Canis lupus familiaris: one gene and its partner. The protein of the gene in region 2 purifies or fractionates together with the protein of the main gene of each other region. This does not show direct contact. Links are inferred from orthologs where the notes say so. Each region holds a gene or a part of one and is shown on either strand. Other genes may lie near its edges.

Region 1 (3,821 bases), on a different chromosome or scaffold from region 2:
GGCTCCCTGCAAGAGCCTGCTTTGAAGCCACGAGGAACCCTGTCATGGGCCATCCAGGCCTTGAACCTGCTGCAACTTCTCGGAAGGGAGTCACCCTCACTAAACAATGGCCACTCAATAAAGGAGTGCAGGATCTGTTGGAAGGTCAAGCCTGATGGTGGGAGGTGGCCCCAGTTCAAAGTCCCTGTCTCACTCTGAACTCCAAATATTAAGCACCAACCATTCTGGTGGTTTTAAGGGGTGTACAGGTGGCTAAATAAAGAGCCCAGAGGCTTAAGAGACATCCCATTTCCTGTGCTCCAATGCATCAAGAGTTATCTGACAACACAGCAAGCTCAAAAATGGGAGCAATTCCTCTGCTCTGGACTGGGAGCCCCTGAAGGCCAATTCTTTCTGCCTATCCCAGTTCACAACACACAGTAAGCACTTGTTAAATACTGTCCAGCTAACAAGTTATTTCTTTTTTAAAATATTTTATGTTTTTTTTTAAGATTTTTATTTATTCATGAGAGACAGAAAGAAAGAAAGAGGCAGAGACACGGGCAGAGGGAGAAGCAGGGTCCATGCAAGGAGCTCGACATGGGACTCGATCCTGGGACTCCAGGATCACACCCTGGGCCGAAGGTGGCGCTAAACCGCTGAGCCACCTCGGCTGCCTGCCCATTCTTTTTATTTTTTAAGATTTTATTTATTTACTTATTTGACAAAGAGAGTGAGAGAGCACAAGCAGAGGGAGAGGGGGAAGCAGGCTCCCCACCGACAAGGAAGCCCAATGTGGGGCTTGATCCCAATACCCTGGGATCAATCATGACCTGAGCCGAAGGCAAACGCTTAACCCATTGAACCTCCCAGGTGACCCTAACAAGTTATTTTTAAAAGGTGCTGTACTGTGCACGAAGCTTATCAGTTACTGCAAATGACCCATGCACCAATACAAGGTCAGAGCTGTTGAGGGTTAAACTAACCCCAGGGGACAAGTGACCTCATTCTAGCCAGCCCAAGCCACTCCACTATGCCTCCTCAGTGTGCTACGGGAGGCCACACTAGGCTGAGGAACCAGGGAGCATGGCTTCAGTTACCATACCCACAATGCAGTGTCCTACCTAGTGCTCTGTCTGGAAGCTATATGCTATTGCTATCAATATATATAGCTATCAATATGCTATTGATCTTTGTGCTCAATAAAAATGATCTTTGTGGAGCATCAGCAATTTCATACAGTTTAGCATATTAGTTGAATGAATAAACGGATAAATGAAATCTGTGTGCACAGTGAGCGTTTATATCAGAGAAATGGAAGTGAGCTCTACTTCACAGGGTTATGAGGATCATGAGGTGAAGCATAAAGCATGCAGGACAAAGGAAGAGTGGTGGGTGACAGCTCCTGCTATTCTTCAGAACAGACATCACTCCTAAAGCACCAGGACTTCACTTATCACTTGTACTGTTCTCAGCTATAGGCCAGCTGTTGCCGTGGCTACCTGGCTGCCCAGACCTTGTACCTGGTCTCCTGTGACAATGGGTGAGATACATGATGAGACTTTCTAAGACGCCCTGAACTAATGAAAAGAAAGGCCATTATTCCTGAGATTCATCTAGAGACCCACCATGCCCACATTTCACTTCCAATAATTCTATCATTTAAAGTGAAAGGATTTCAAGTCCTTTCTGTTCATCATGCCTCCTAAATATGGCCAAGTAAGCCATCTGGTGCTCAGCTGTTCCAAAGCTGGAGGGAAAAAGTGACCGTAGCTGGCATCTGAGAGATGCTTAAGAATCAGTGCAAGGGAAAAAAAAAAAAAAGGAATCAGTGCAAGGCATGGGGCACCTGAGGGGCTTAATTGGTCAAGTGTCCAACTCTTGATTTCAGCTCAGGTCATGATCTCAGGGTTGTATAACTGAGCCTCGGCATGGCGCCTGCTTAGGGTTCTCTCCCTCTGCCTCTGTCCCTCGCTGCTCGTGCATGTTCTCTCTCTCAAAATAAAATATTTAGAGAGAGAGAGAGAGAGAGAGAGCAGCAGTGTGAGGCACCTTTAGGGCTGCCGATAATTTCTGCCTTCCATACTGCCTTTATTCCTCGCTCCTGCATCAGACGACTCGACTGAAATCACATGTCCCATCTGCCTAGGATATGTCTGCTTACAGGTATAAGCTTACAAATATTAACAAAACTTCTTTGTCATAATAACCATGACTCAGAAAGGCCACAGTCTCTAATCTTCTCGTCCCATTTAAAGAACTGTCAAGGGACGACTGGGTGGCTCAGCGGTTAAGTGTCTGTCTTCCGCTCAGGGCATGATCCTGGAGTCCTAGGATCGAGTCCCACATCAGGCTCCCTGCATGGAGCCTGATTCACCCTCTGCCTATGTCTCTGTGCCTCTCTCTCAATCTGTCTCTCATGAATAAATAAATAATCCTTTTTCTTAAAGATTTTATTCATTTATTCATGAAAGACACAGAAAGAGAAAGGCAGAGATGTAGGCAGAGGGAGAAGCAGGCTCCAGGCAGGGAGCCTGATGTGGGACTCAATCCTAAGACTGCAGGATCACACCCTGAGCCAGGGGCAGGTGCTTAACCGCTGAACCATTCAGGCGTCCCATAAACAATCTTTAAAAAAAGAAAGAACTGTCAATGGTGTAATGTTGGATTGATTAGGTAAGGTCCTGGTTTCTAGAAAATAAAAATTTTACAGTAGAGAAGCCAGTACCGTTCTGCTTCTTGTAAAGTAAACCCAGAGACAAAGGTCCCTCTGCCTGACAGGCTCAGAGTAGACATATTTCACTGAGACCTTAGTGCTGGAAACCTCTCCCAGCTCCAGGTGCCCTGGGAGGGAAAAGCAAGAGGAGGCAGACATGAGTCCCAGGGGACCATGCAGAGGGGATGCTGGGGAGCTCCGTGCATACCTTGTTAGCACACTGCTTACACTGCTTCTCATCCAGGCAATCCCCAGCCACTTTGGCCAGGGCAGGGTCCAGGGGGTTATCCTTTAGGTCCAACCACTTCAGGCTCTGAAGAGAGAAGACAGAGAGGCCGCTCAAGCCCAAGTTCACACACAGAGTCCCTCAAGGTAGACAAAATGAGCAGGAAGAAAGCCCCTGCATGTGCCAGCTGCAGGGAAAGCCATCCCTCTGAGGTGGCACCAACGAGAGGTCTTCCTGCCAGCCGCTCTCACAACCAGGCTCCACCCCCCTAGGACGAAACACTGTTACCTTGAGCTGAGCGAAGCTGACAGGCAGGGTCACCAGCCTGTTGTTGAGGAGATCCAGGTGCTGGAGGTTGACCAGACGGCCAAAGTCTGCCGGCAGTTGCTGCAGTTTATTCTTACTCAGGTCCAGCTTCACCAGGTGTGTGAGGCCACAAAATTCCGCCTAGGACCCAGAGGGACAACATTCAAGCCATGGGCTCACATCTCGGTATGATGATGCAGAAGCCTTCAAGGCAGAGGCAACTGCCTGTAAACCCTGACCCTACCTGCCATCCGCTCTTCCACCTTGATGGAGATGCAGCCAACACCCAGCACTTCTGCTGGTAAGTAGTGAGATGTGTACATACAAGGACTTAGCACAAAGTAGGCACAAGAATAAGTGTGTTCCCTCATGCTCTGTGCACGCCCCCAGGCAATCCTCCACATTGTTACAGGAGGCCCTGCCCGTCCCCCCACAGCACCCTATGTTCTCCTTTCACAGGAGTGGTCAAAGCACAGCATGACCATCCATTTCCCCAAAAAGATCAAGTGCCTCTCAAGTACTCTGTGGTATTCTCTGTTTTTTGCAGCACCTAGCACAGTACCGCTCTGCAGTGACGTTCCAACCTGGGTGCAG
Region 2 (3,821 bases):
CATAATCAACAAGATCAAACCAGACGACAGCTACTGATGTCCAGACTCCCAGTAATGCAATGACCATAAACCATGTGAAAAATGAACTTCCAGAAAGTCCTCCTTTCCTCCCATTTTTGTGTCCTCCATGCTTTGTCTCTGTTTAAAAATAAAACAGGTGAACAATGTCATTATGTAAACAAGTTCACTATGTAACTGAACACCTCTTTTTGCTGAATTATTTCTCCAGTAATTTGAAAGTACTTACAATGGTAAATCATTTCAAAAATAGTTTTCACTCAAGTTCTCAAAAGATGCTGCATTAAAAAAAAATTGAAACAAAAAAGATTCTGCTTAGACTCAACACCACATATATAAAACTCTGACTTAGAAGTAATGAGAAAAATAAACTACTCATTGGCTAACAATTTTTTTAAAAATGAAGGTTGATATAACATGTATATGTAATCTATAACCTTCCAAGTTCTTTATCCAAATCACCTACATATAACCTCTTCCAAAGTTCAGTGAATATCAACAACTTAATGAAGTCACATAGAAATGTCACAACCTTTTCTCTGACCCATTTGTCTCCAGAAATTAAAAAGCCGGTTAATGGCCAGAGAAATATCTCCCCACAAAATGACTCCATATTCTTAGCCAGAGAGAGAGACACAAGAAGGAAAGAAACTATTTATAGGAAATAGAGGCCAGGGAAGAAGAGAAACAAAACAGTACAACAATCAGCCCCCCTCCTTTACAAGATCCACCAGGGCCTGAGGAGGCAGGAGACAGGAAAAGGCTCATCATTCACAATCGGTCTCAATACAGGAAACAGCTCTGTATACTGTGGTCCACTGAGTGTCATTTATCACATTTGCTATTCTCCTGGAAATAGTCTTCTTACAGCCAAAAGTAAATAAAAATAATGATAGTCAAGTGATACTAATGGAAAGTCAACACTGCCCTTAAAAGAAAGGACCACAGTATTCAAATTTCTCTTGAAAAGGAACATAATAAATATTATTAAAAGGATAGGTATTATTCCCAAATAACCTCTGAGAAAAGGAAAAGTTTATCAACCGGGTAGTATAGCAGGACACGGTCTTCTCTTTGTTGAGCACGTGTCCTGTAGTTCAAAGTGCTTCCATGTGCACGGCTGCATGTGATTCTCACACAGGTCTGGCCAGTGTATCTCAAGAGGTTGTTTCTGAATGCCTATAAAGAACAATTCCTTATCCTGTGTAACTGTGCCTCACCCTGCAGGGCAACTGGCATCCCTGGTTACTCGGGTCCCAAAGGTAAGCAGCTCCCCAATTATGACAAACAAAAGTATCCCCAAACTTTTCCCAGTGTCCTCTCCAAGGTAGTGACTGGTTCAGAACCACTGGGGGTTAAGGACAGGAACAATCATCCCTGTTTTATAGAAAAAACATTAAATGATTTACTCCAACTCCCCAGCACAAGTTGGGTAGAGCTAGGAGCATTAACCCTAACTTCTATGGTCCTGAGTTCCTAGATCCATGTGAGTGGGCCAAATTACATGCCTTTAAAAAAGCTCACTAGCTCTAATCTAGAACCTGCTTTCTCACCCCTAAATCTAACTCTCATTATAGAATACTGGTGGTAGTATCCAGTGGCTCAAATCAAGGATATACAGCCAAATCTTCTGGGGAAAAAAAAAAGGAAATGAAAGTCTTACTAAAAAGATACACTTTTTTTTTTTTTAAACAACCACTAGATCAACTTTTCAAAAGGGGCCATAAAAACTAAATTGGTATGAAAGCAAGAGTGTGTGTGTGTGTGTGTGTGTGTACACATTCAAGTACATACATTTTTTATCTATATATCCATATTTAAGTATGTAAAATCATGACTATATAAGACAAATTTCATTCTTTTTTTTTTTTTTTTTTTTTAATTTATGATAGTCACAGAGAGAGAGAGAGGCAGAGACATAGGCAGAGGGAGAAGCAGGCTCCATGCACCGGGAGCCCGACGTGGGATTCGATCCCGGGTCTCCAGGATTGCGCCCTGGGCCAAAGGCAGGCGCCAAGCCGCTGCGCCGCCCAGGGATCCCAAGACAAATTTCATTCTTAATGAAAAAGTCAACTTCCTTTTCTAATGTTCTTTAAATATTAATAGGCCTATCAAAAAGGGCCAGATTTATAGTTATAGGGTGAATTCACAAAAGAATATTTACCAAATAACACATGACTATCTAATCTGCTTCTAATATAGTATAAAAAGTATTAAAAATCTCCAAAAAATAAATAAAATAAAAAATAAATAAAAATCTCCTAAAAGCTGGCTACATAAAATCAAATGTTTACATTAAAAAAATTCTTACAAGGCATAGATTGTAACATTACATGTTAAATTCAATTAAAACAGGCTTTACGGTTTCATTATCTGAACACAGTCATGGGGCAGCGAGACTAGATGAAAACTTCAGCAATGCTGATGGGGGAAAATGATGATTTCCCATACTTTTGTGTGTCTTAAGCATAAATATTATAAGAACAATATAGAGTATCATTAAAATTTTAAAAAATAAAAAAAGAGTAGACAGGAGTACCACAGATTCACTGCAATGTTGTATTTTACTTTATTAAAACTTCTGTGCACATGAAGACATTTTTCAATGCTGTATTTAAAAAAAATCTTTATTTCTGGGGTGCCTGGGGGGCATAGTCAATTAAACATCCAACTCCTGGGCAGCCCAGGGGGCTCAGCGCTTTAGCGCTGCCTTCGGCCCAGGGCATGATCCTGGAGTCCCGGGATCAAGTCCCACGTCAGGCTTCCTTCATGGAGCCTGTTTTCTCCCTCTGCCTGTGTCTCTACCTCCCTCCCACTCTCTCTCTCTCTCTCTCTCTCTCTTTCTCATGAATGAATAAATAAATAAAATCTTAAAAAAAAATAAACTTCCAATTCCTGATTTTGGCTCAGGAATTTTGGCTCTAGCATAGGGCTCTGCACTCAGCATGGAGTCTCCTTGAGATTCTCTCCCTCTCCCTCCACTGCCCTCTTACTCGTACTCACCCCTTCTCTCTCTTTCCATCAAATACATAAATATTAAAAAAAAAAAACAACCCTGATTTCTATATAGCATACAAATATATGCATACAAAACGGTTACACAGTGTACTGATTATAATAAGGAAAATGCCTTCTGGAATATCCATTTACCTCCAAATATGGATTTATTTATTTATGTTTATACATTTTATTTATTTATTCATGAGACACACAGAGAGAGATGCAGAGACACAGGCAGAGGGAGAAGCAAGTTCCTCGTAGGGAGCCCAATGTGGGACTCAATTCTGGGACCCTGCAATCACACCCTGTGCTGAAGGCAGCCACTCAACCACTGAGCCACCCAGGCATCTGGGTTCATAATTTAAAATGAGCTTGTAATGAAATAGCTAATGAACCAAAATAATTATTTGAATTCAAACTTTAATTCTATCTCCATATCTTTCTTTAAGCAGAAACAGAGAAGGAAACTTTCTTAGATTCTCAAAAGCAGAGACTTCATTTATCCAAGTTAATTCAGCAAATACTAAGTCACTGACCTGCAACACCAAATACAAGTAAAAAGTGCAAAAAGGTTTTTTTTTTAATCACACAAATGCACGCACCATGGCAGAGATAAGGGATGAAGAAAGGGGGAGTGAAACAGAGTAAAGAACATACCTTTTTTTAGAATCGACTGACTTACATTTGTTTTAGTCATGATCCAACAACTCTGATCAAGTTTCCAAACTTACTGCACAAAACTAAATAATAAACTTGAAAGACAACCTCACCTGAGTTCAAGCAACAAAGTGCTGCTAAAAGGA

What was found.
Region 1: the proteins of ASPH (region 2) and LRRC59 purify together in Homo sapiens (co-immunoprecipitation; 3 studies listed by BioGRID and IntAct, with this or other methods). This does not show direct contact. The link is inferred for Canis lupus familiaris from reciprocal best matches to the Homo sapiens genes ASPH and LRRC59.

Annotation. Positions count from the first base shown.
Region 1 is NC_049230.1:26,308,402-26,312,222, forward strand, and holds part of LRRC59 (leucine-rich repeat-containing protein 59), read right to left. Parts: intron 3,369-3,821; coding exon 3,210-3,368; intron 3,009-3,209; coding exon 2,904-3,008; intron 1-2,903.
Region 2 is NC_049250.1:12,483,153-12,486,973, forward strand, and holds part of ASPH (aspartyl/asparaginyl beta-hydroxylase), read right to left. Parts: intron 139-3,821; coding exon 1-138.